Caenorhabditis elegans: one gene and its partner. The protein of the gene in region 2 purifies or fractionates together with the protein of the main gene of each other region. This does not show direct contact. Each region holds a gene or a part of one and is shown on either strand. Other genes may lie near its edges.

Region 1 (4,990 bases), on a different chromosome or scaffold from region 2:
ATCTGCAAAACTTGACAAAATAGAAGCGAAAACTTTCTTGTATTATTTTTTTTGAAACAAGTGCAAAACAGTAGTCCAAATATTTGTTATCTTATCTTGTTTTTTTTTATTTTGTCAAATGTTTTTGTTCAAACCTCTCAAATAATTTTTAAGACACCTATTATTCAAATTTGTAGTTTTTCCTTCCAACCCATGAAAACCTACAGTAACCCTTCAGGGAATCTCCCGCCTTTACCACGAGAATTTCTCTTTATTATGTTAATTTCAAGTTTTTGAGTTAGGCGGTACTCTTTTCATTCACTTGCTCAAATATTATATTTTCTCACAATTTCTCACATAATCTTGCTCTGCTTGACACATAGGACGATTAACATTGAAAGTTTAATAAAATTATAACATTTGACTTTGAAACAGTAATTTTTTTAAAAAAGAAATGTTCAGATGTCACTAACATTTCAAAAATCATGGTTTATTTATCAAAATAATGAAACAGGCTTTTACAGAAAAAATTGTTCTCTAGCTAACATCTCTAGTGAATAGTAAGTATTTTCAAAGACGACTTTTCTAGAATCTGCGTAACAATGGAATTCAAATTACCACTCCCCATATAATGATCTCTAAAAAATGTTTTTAGAAAAATTTTCCATTTTTTCAGATTCCATGCTTTGTTGTCTTAATTTCCACTATTTTCTATTCCTTCAGAATTCAATCACTGAAGATGAAGCACACATTTTTTTTACAGTTTCAATTGGATCTTTTGTGAATTAAGAGTATTTTTGTTTTATTGAATCCATTATTGTTATTGAGACAATAAAGCTTATGAGTTCCATGTAAGAAAAAGTTGGTCTGAATATTTATCAAATTCAAAATTCTTCAATAATTGAACGGGTATTATTCCAATTCTAATACAACTGTGAAATTATATAAAATTCATCAAAACTATGAAACATGTTTTTACTGGATCAAATTTTCTCTGGATGATTTTTTTTCATCAAAATCAATTTTTTCTGTATCCTGATTATATTCAAACTAAACCAAAGTGTGCAAATTGAAGAAAAAAAATCAACTCCCTTTTTTTAAGTTCGTTTAAAATTCCAATAACCTCCTATTTGTTTGAGAATTTAGTTTCTTGAAGCACAAAATATTGTTACAGTTTCAGTAAGGCTTCTTTTAAATTCAGATTTTTCTCCGACATTGCCTCGTATGATACCTTTGTATTTAATCCGAAAACAAATTCTTGAGTGTTCTATGATTGTAAAAAAGTCAAATAAGTTTTCTATGAGAAAATACAAAAATGTCTCTGTAGGTGAAGTGTAATAACATTGCAAACAGATTTTTACAGTTTTTTGAGCAGCAAGGAGTTTACATATCAGCACGAAACATCACGAAAAAGTTATCTAAAACTTTTTTCTAGATAGTTGAAATTTATAAAATTTATTTGTCTGTTTCAGTAGATTCACTTTATTTAATGCAACTTCAAGACCATAGTCGTATGTCAACAATTGTAACCCCTATATTGTAATTAAATTAAAAAGTTGACTGTTTCACCATGTTTTTTTTCAAAATGTAATTTCAAATAAGTTTTGATGTTCTGTGGTTTTTCGTTCCATTTTTTAAATAAGAAATAATTTTGGATCATTGAAAAAAAATCAGTTTAGAAAGTGAAAAAAATCTATAATTACTAAGTTTACAGACAGAAAAGTTCACTATTTTTTCCAACCCAAATCTAGAAAACATTGAACTCTGTCTGTGGTCTGGTTGGTTGTCCAATTTGTATTTTTCGGACCTTTATCCTTTCTTTAACATCTGGTTTTTATTACAAGAATCGCCGCTCTCTCTTCCTCTTGTTCACATGTCTTCCGTGCTCACAAAAACCTTTTTTATTTCTTCACGGGACCTCCACAATTTTTTCATTTTGATTTTTATTCTTTCCATCAGTTTTTCCTTTTAATTTGAAAATTTGAAATTCTACAGATGGAGGACGACACGCCCGATGTGAGTTCAGATTCCAATGGAGATGCAGCATACAGCGATTATTTCTTGGACTACAAATCAAGTGAGTTTCTGATTTTTGAATTAATCCCTCTTATTTTATCCTACTTATAAAAAAGTTAAGGACTATCTTTTCTTTGTTTAGAAAATATGCCAATGGGTGCCCCCGGCAGGGGGTAACGGGGGTAAATATTAGGAAGTATTAAGAGGGGTCAGTGAATTGTTTGGTGTTAGTTTCAAGGAGCTATGACACTTTTTTTTGATGATTTGTCAGTAAATACTAGATTTGTTTTACTTTTGGTATCTGTATGGCCACGGTTTGAACATTTAAAAAATTTGAAAAAAATTACTGTTTCAGAAATTGTATAAGTATTTTAAATTTCCTTGTGATGTGATTGCGTTTGTTAAAAAAACATTTATAAAATGTTTATATAGTTTTGCAAAAAATTCTGAACTGTTTTCCCAAAGTAAAAATTCCCTCCGACGAGGAGGCAGACTCTCTCGCTTTGCAGACTGCCTTCTGTGTTTTTTTATAAAAACATTTCTTGAAACAATAACGTTACTTTAAAACTTACCTCAAAATTATCTTTGGTTGTAACATTTAAAAATCACGTGAATTTTGCAGAGATTCTATACATTTTCACAATTTTAATAAAGTCTGATCTATGAAACGTTATCAATCACACCTCTCCTTAAAATTGGGAATATAACGGAAAAGTTAACAAATTAAAGTTTAGTCAATATTTCTAAAAATTAACATTTCAAGAAAAATTTGATCAAGCAGTCATAATATACTCTAGCGCTTTCATTGATGGCAGGCAGGCGTTTTAATTTGCCTAACGTCTACCTGCCTTTTGAATATCCATTTTTATTTTGCTCTTTCATAAAATCAAACATGAGTTCACTAGCAGCCGACAGTATCTAGGTCTTGCGACTCATCATAAAACTATAAGTAGGCACAGAAACAGGCAGGCATTCTCTACCTTACTTCAGTTAGTCCCTTTCTCCAATTTCTTCCGTTTCCCACTCACTCATACATCATTGAACCTTTGAGAAGGTGTCCCATCTCCAAAGACACACGTGCCGCCACTTAATCCCAATTCTCGCCAGAACTCTTTTCACCACCACCACCAGTTGCTTCTTCTTCTTCTTCTGTTGTTTTTTTGTGTGTGTGCTCACCTCTTTCCCCTCTTCTCCAATCATCACCCATTCACACCACGGATGACTAGGTCCGATGATTTTTGCCGCCAAATGATATTGTTGTAACGTTTCCTGAGTCAATGATGATGACGACGTACCTGGAGGGGGGGGGGGGAGCGGTATTCTCTTTTTGATGGACCCCCCGTACATTCCCCCACAGGTATACCTTAATGTCAAATGTCAATCAGAACGAAAATATATGTTGTTGCTTTATTAAACTGTTGACATGTGTAAACAGAATATTTTACTTACGCATTAGTTTACTTTATGGCTCATAGATTCTCCAGTTGATAGATGTTGTAAAATTGGGAGAGGTTAATGGGTGAACGGGAGTGGTGTCACCTGTTTTCACATAGTTTGTATTATGACACTGGTTGCGATAAAATTTCAGTTTATAATCTGATAGTGAGGTCCAGCCGCGATAAAAATAAAGATTATACTAATAAATACGAGTATCGTTACAATATATATAAGATAGATGAAACTGTAAAAAATTTGAAATTTTTTTTTCAAATTTTCTTATCAAAATTTATATTCCCGCGATAGCACGGATTTTTAGAAGGACTATCTCACGAAGGCAAATTCTGAGTGCCTGCCTACCTTCAAGCTGGCCGCGCCTGGCTTTCTTATGCAGGATTTTTTAATTTATGGCGGAAATATACATACTTTGATGGTCTAGAAGTTTTAAACGTCATCCGGCGTTCGAAACAAAAGTGAAATATAAATTTAAAGCAACAATTATTTTAACTAGTACAAACCATTGGCGTATGAAATAGATGCAGTTATCTCTACAAAGTTTGAAAGTTATATGAAACTGTAATTTTTTTTTCTTAATTTTTCAAGTTTTCCCAACAAAATAGTTAAAAATTCTGTTTCCATGAGAGCATTAAATACCATATTTTCTTCCATTTTCTCCATTGTAGAATAGATTCGGGTGCAGATTATTCGAATCAGATCTACGATTAAAAAAAAATCAATTCAAAATTCAAATAATAAAAGAAAACAAAACTACTAACCTGTAAATTGGCAGTAGTCTATCTTTTGTGTGGTGCCTACACTGAAATTTTATTTTGTATTATGTTTTACATTGGTAGCGTTAAACACAGAAACAGAAGCAGCATCAATTATGAGAAAGTGTAAAAAATTGAAAATGTTAGCAATTATTTTACTGTTTCATATAATTTTCAAACATCGTAGAGATAATCGCATTTATTAACATCATGGTATCATCGTTCAAACAATTTATTCTTTCATTTTTGGTGATTTATCCAAAAGCTGTTAAATTCTCAAAATATTAATTTTCTTAAGTTTCCCCTAAATCAACTTGTTGTAAATTTTTTCAAGCTATCTGAAAATTTGCTAAAAATGGATGATAACTAGAAAAAATCGTTAGATTTAGCAGAATATTTTCCAGACGACTTTATTAAAACACTTGACCAACTTTTTGCGGTTAGAACTCAATCAATTTCCAGTATTCTTGGGAAAATTCAAAAAATGAAATTTCTGTTTTATGAAACTTTTAAATATTCGAAGACTTTATAACCTTGATTAGTCTAGATTTATCCTTTTCCAAAGTATTGTAAATGTTTCGAATATGACCATAAGAACCCCCAAATTCTATCTATTTCCGTCACAAAATCAAAAATCCTGGTGTTTCTGTGCGTCTCTCCGGTCTCTATCACTCTCTCGAATTATTGTGAAACGAGCAGTTGGTTTAGTTGGAAAAGAGCTTTCGGGTGTGATTTTTATGATGAATCGGCGGTTTTCTGGGGCGAAAAATAATCAAGAAAGTTGAGAT
Region 2 (4,847 bases):
GTCTGTCCGGTTCGTTGGTGTCGAACATACCACCAATCACAATTCGAATGATCCAATAGGTACATAGCATCGCCTTTTTGAAAGCTAAGATCCCCGTCGGCACGTGAATCGTATGGATAGAGGGCGACCAGAGTCTCACGTTCCTGTGCTCCTCCTCCACCACCACCACCACGTCCATTTCCCATCATTCCGTCTGATGTTCCGTTTAGTTGAGAGATGGTTCCCTCGTTTCCACCGTTATTCACGTGGAATACTGTCTGTTGTTGGGGCGTTTGGAATCTGCGTGGATATCTTTTTGGGTAATGGGGGAAGTGTACGGAAAAAAAATGGAAAAATAATTAAAGGTGGAGTAGCCACTGCAACTTTTTCCTCACGAGGGACGAGGAAAAGTGGTTTCTAGGCCATGGCCGAGGGGCCGACAAGTTTCAGCGGCCATTTATCTTGCTTTGTTTTCCGCCTGTTTTCTTTCGTTTTTCATCGATTTTTTTCGTTTTTTCTTAATAAAACTGATAAATAAATATTTTTTGCAGATGCTAAAACAATTTCCAAGTAAAAAAAATCATGTATTCAGTGGGCAAGCAGCGGTGAAAGTGGTCGATGTAATATGATGGATTACGGGAATACAAAACCTAAACGTTTTCTGAAACATGATACATATGCTGCTTAAATGCTGAGACTACCTGATTTTCATAACGAGACCGCTGAAAAAGTTTAGAGATTTTTAAAATTCAACATTTTGTGCGAAAATCTCTACTTTTTCACCAAAAACAATTGAATTTTGAAAACCTCAAAACTTTTTCAGCGGTCTCGTTATGAAAATCAGGTAATTTAAGCATCTAAGCATCATATGTATCATGTTTCAGAAAAAGTTTAGGTTTTGTATTCCCGTAATCCATCATATTACATCGACTACTTTCACCGCTGCTTGCCCACTGAATACATGATTTTTTTACTTGGAAATTGTTTTAGCATCTGCAAAAAATATTTATTTATCAGTTTTATTAAGAAAAAACGAAAAAAATCGATGAAAAACGAAAGAAAATAGGCGGAAAACAAAGCAAGATAAATGGCCGCTGAAACTTGTCGGCCCCTCGGCCATGGCCTAGAAACCACTTTTCCTTGTCTCTCGTGAGGAAAAAGTTGCAGTGATGGGGTCACAATGTCCGAATACCATGATAAAAAAATTCAAAAAAATTTTATATGATTTTTTGAAAATTAAAAAATGGTAAAAAAAAGATTTTTGCCTAATAATTCCTATTTGAATTTTGAATTACCCCCAATTGGATTTGTTCGGTGGAGCGCCGCGCTTGCACATTTTTTATTTTTATTCATTGTTTTTTTTTTTATATTTTCCACCGATTTTCCATGTTTTCAGTGTATTTTTGTCTGAAATTTGAAGAAAAAGTCGAAATAAATGCTAATTTTTGATTAAAAAGCTACTTCACAAGCGTAAATCTTTGAAATTAATTAATTCAGGTTTCGAAATCGTCGTTTAAATGCTTTTTAATCGAACATTTGCATTTATTTTGACTTTTTCTTCAAATTTCAGACAAAAATACACTGAAAACATTGAAAATCGGTGGAAAATATAAAAAAATAACAATAAATAAAAATAAAAGCGTGCAAGCGCGCTCCACCGAACAAATCTAGGCAAAACAAAAAATTAGGCAAAACTGAGATTTTTTCAATTTTCAAAAAATCATATAAAATTTAGAAATTTTTTTTTGAATTTTTTAACCATGATATTCGGTCATTGTGGTATCATAGGCATGTTTAAAAGCAATTTCCCCACTGGCGCTACTCCACCTTTAAAAAAAATATAATACGCGAATTGACGCGTTGTTAGTGCATTTTTAGGTGGGCAAACAATCAAATTTTTTTTATAGAAAAGGAAGTACATATATGAACATTCTCATGTGCATTAAAATTGAAATATTGAATGTTTAAAATTATTTAGTGCTCACTTTTTCCGAAAAAAAATATATATAAATAGAATAATCTCAGAAGAAAAACTATGGCATCATTTTTGCCCAAATAGATGTCTTTAAATGTTTTTAAAAAAAAAGATATATATATATATATATATATATAATTTTTTAAAGACATCGTTGGCATCTAATTGGGCAAAAATGATGCCATAGTTTTTCTTCTGAGATTATTCTATTTATATATTTTTTTTTTCGGAAAAAGTGAGCACTAAATAATTTTAAACATTCAATATTTCAATTTTAATGCACATGTTCATCTTAATACTATTTTCATTTTTAGGCTTAGAAAACAACATTGGCCTAAAAATAGCCTAAAAATAAAGCAAACTTTCTATAAAAAAAGACGGGACAGAGAAAATGATACATTTTTAAATTCTATACATTTTTTCCAAAAAAATACACTCGAAATTGTAAAAGAGTTCAGTCTCGATTAAAAAATTCCAGAAAAAAAAATTTCTAATAAAAACATTTACTACAGTAGGGATCTCGTTTTTTTTTTCAAAATTCTTTGGAACTCAGTAATGTCAAATTGCCGGAATTTGTTGGGATCGGGCACTTACTTGCTGAGAAAATGCCGAAAATCTAACAACTGTTGATCACTGCCGAATTATCGAAATGTGAAACGGGCAAATTTTCGGAATTGAAAAGTTCCGGCAAAACGGGGGATTTCCGCTCACCACCATGTAAATGCATAAAATATCATGCTTTATGTAGATTTAGAATAGCTAAATTTCCTATTTTAATTGAAAAGTCAATAATTTATGATTTTTTATCGAAAAATCAATGATTTCTAATTTTTAACTAAAAATCAATAATTTCAAATTTTTACCAAAAATTAAACCAAACCGGAAAATCGGTTTTTTTTCAAATCTGTATTTAATTTTTGCACTTTTTATCTAAAAAAAAAGTTGATTGTCTCCAAAAAAATAATACATTTCTCTATAAAATAGTTACCTGGAGACATCTATCCGTTCGGAAACACCCATATCACTGCCTCCCGATCGCCGCTCTTTTGAAAACAGGCAACCCATTATTTATTCTGAAAAAAAATTATTTCAGGAAAATGTTACTGGGGTTGCCTCGTTCGTTCGGCAAATCAGCAAATTGCCGGTTTGCCGGAAATTTTCATTTTCGGCAATTTGCCGGTTTGTCGAAAAATTGTTTGTGAATTTTTTCGTTTTTTTTTTTTAAATTTTTTTAACTGAAAAATCTCTGTCAATTTAATTTTTTTTTGACATTTCCACAACTGGAAAACTGCAAAAAAAGACTGTACAAGCAGAATTTTCAAACAAATTTCAAAAAATTTGTTAATTTTAATATATATTAAAATTTACAATTTGCAAATATCACGTGGTGCCAGCCTGTCCCATCACGGTTTGATCTACAAAAAATGCGGCAATTTTTTGCCCAAAAAATGTGACGTCAGGACGGTCTTAACCATACAAAATCAGATGAGAAGTCAGCGTCCCGTTTTCCCGCATTTTTTGTAGATCAACGTAGATCAAGCCGAAATGTGACACTCTGACACCATGTGAAATACTTGAATCGTCGCGAAATTCAAAAATTGTCAGGTTTTGTAATTTTCAGTGAAAATTTTCTGAATTTTCCAAAAAAACTCACACAAGACACCAGTATTTTTGTGCAAACAACAATTATTGAGCATGCATATGGAATGGTTGCTTCTTCTTCTTATTTTCGAGGTTTTTTTTCTGAAAATGAGGAAATTTTGGCGGGAATTTGATTTTAAAAAAACGAGATTTTAGAGGAAAAAGTGAAAATGGAGGGGTAGTAAATATGTTTTAAATAAACTCTGACGCTTGGAATTTATTCAGAAAAAACGCGAAAATTATCAATTTTTTGAAGAAATTTACAATATTTTCCCAACAGAATCAGTATTTTTGTATTTAAAGGTGGTGTAGTTGAATTTTTTTTTAAATTTCTTTAATATACTCAAAATTGTCTGAAAACATCGAATTTCATAATGAAACTTCTTGAAAACTTCTCCAAATACCGTATTTCCTCTATTAGTTTTGCACCCCCTCAATTTGTTCCCTATGTTTAGGAATTCAAAATTTGCATAATAAAATCGTTCTAAAAATTAGGAAAACTCTTACAGACTTGGTATGACAAGTCAAAATTGACAAAATATGAGTACAATTCGGACAATTTTTGCGTATCAGTCGTAAAATTCGTAAATTTTCGATCATAAGTTGTTATTGAAATTGATCATAACTTAATGGAAAACATGAGAAAAAACCTGTTCGAAAATTAGTTTTGCATCAAATTAGGTGTCCGAAAATTAGTTTTGCATGCCTTACTAATAGAGGAAATACGGTAAAAGTTATGGCGGCTCAAAAAATGGCCTAAGATAAGTTAAATTTTGAAATTTGACCGACTTGTCAAGCGGCTGGAAATTAACTTTTTTGAATTCACCGTCAAATTTTGAGTATACAATGTAATTATCCTGCGTTTTCAACTTCATTTAGGTATTATAAAGTCGATGGACGGCGAAATTTGGATAAAAAATTTAAAAAAATGTCGGCCATTTTTTGAGCCGCCATAACTTTTACCGTATTTCCTCTATTAGTAAGGCATGCAAAACTAATTTTCGGACACCTAATTTGATGCAAAACTAATTTTCGAACAGGTTTTTTCTCATGTTTTCCATTAAGTTATGATCAATTTCAATAACAACTTATGATCGAAAATTTACGAATTTTACGACTGATACGCAAAAATTGTCCGAATTGTACTCATATTTTGTCAATTTTGACTTGTCATACCAAGTCTGTAAGAGTTTTCCTAATTTTTAGAACGATTTTATAATGCAAATGTTGAATTCCTAAACATAGGGAACAA

What was found. The genes of interacting proteins can lie anywhere in the genome.
Region 1: the proteins of src-1 (region 2) and unc-5 purify together in Caenorhabditis elegans (affinity purification with western blotting, with the first as the bait; one study listed by BioGRID). This does not show direct contact.

Annotation. Positions count from the first base shown.
Region 1 is NC_003282.8:5,525,323-5,530,312, reverse strand, and holds the start of unc-5 (Netrin receptor unc-5), read left to right. Parts: upstream 1-1,974; coding exon 1,975-2,056; intron 2,057-2,387; exon of another isoform or gene 2,388-2,408; intron 2,409-2,672; exon of another isoform or gene 2,673-2,693; intron 2,694-3,610; exon of another isoform or gene 3,611-3,631; intron 3,632-3,943; exon of another isoform or gene 3,944-3,964; intron 3,965-4,405; exon of another isoform or gene 4,406-4,426; intron 4,427-4,990. UniProt on the Caenorhabditis elegans protein: Receptor for netrin (unc-6) required for axon guidance. Mediates axon repulsion of neuronal growth cones in the developing nervous system upon ligand binding.
Region 2 is NC_003279.8:1,565,781-1,570,627, reverse strand, and holds the start of src-1 (Tyrosine protein-kinase src-1), read right to left. Parts: upstream 3,020-4,847; coding exon 2,943-3,019; intron 292-2,942; coding exon 1-291. UniProt on the Caenorhabditis elegans protein: Non-receptor tyrosine-protein kinase which plays a role in endoderm development by controlling spindle orientation in EMS blastomere, probably downstream of receptor mes-1.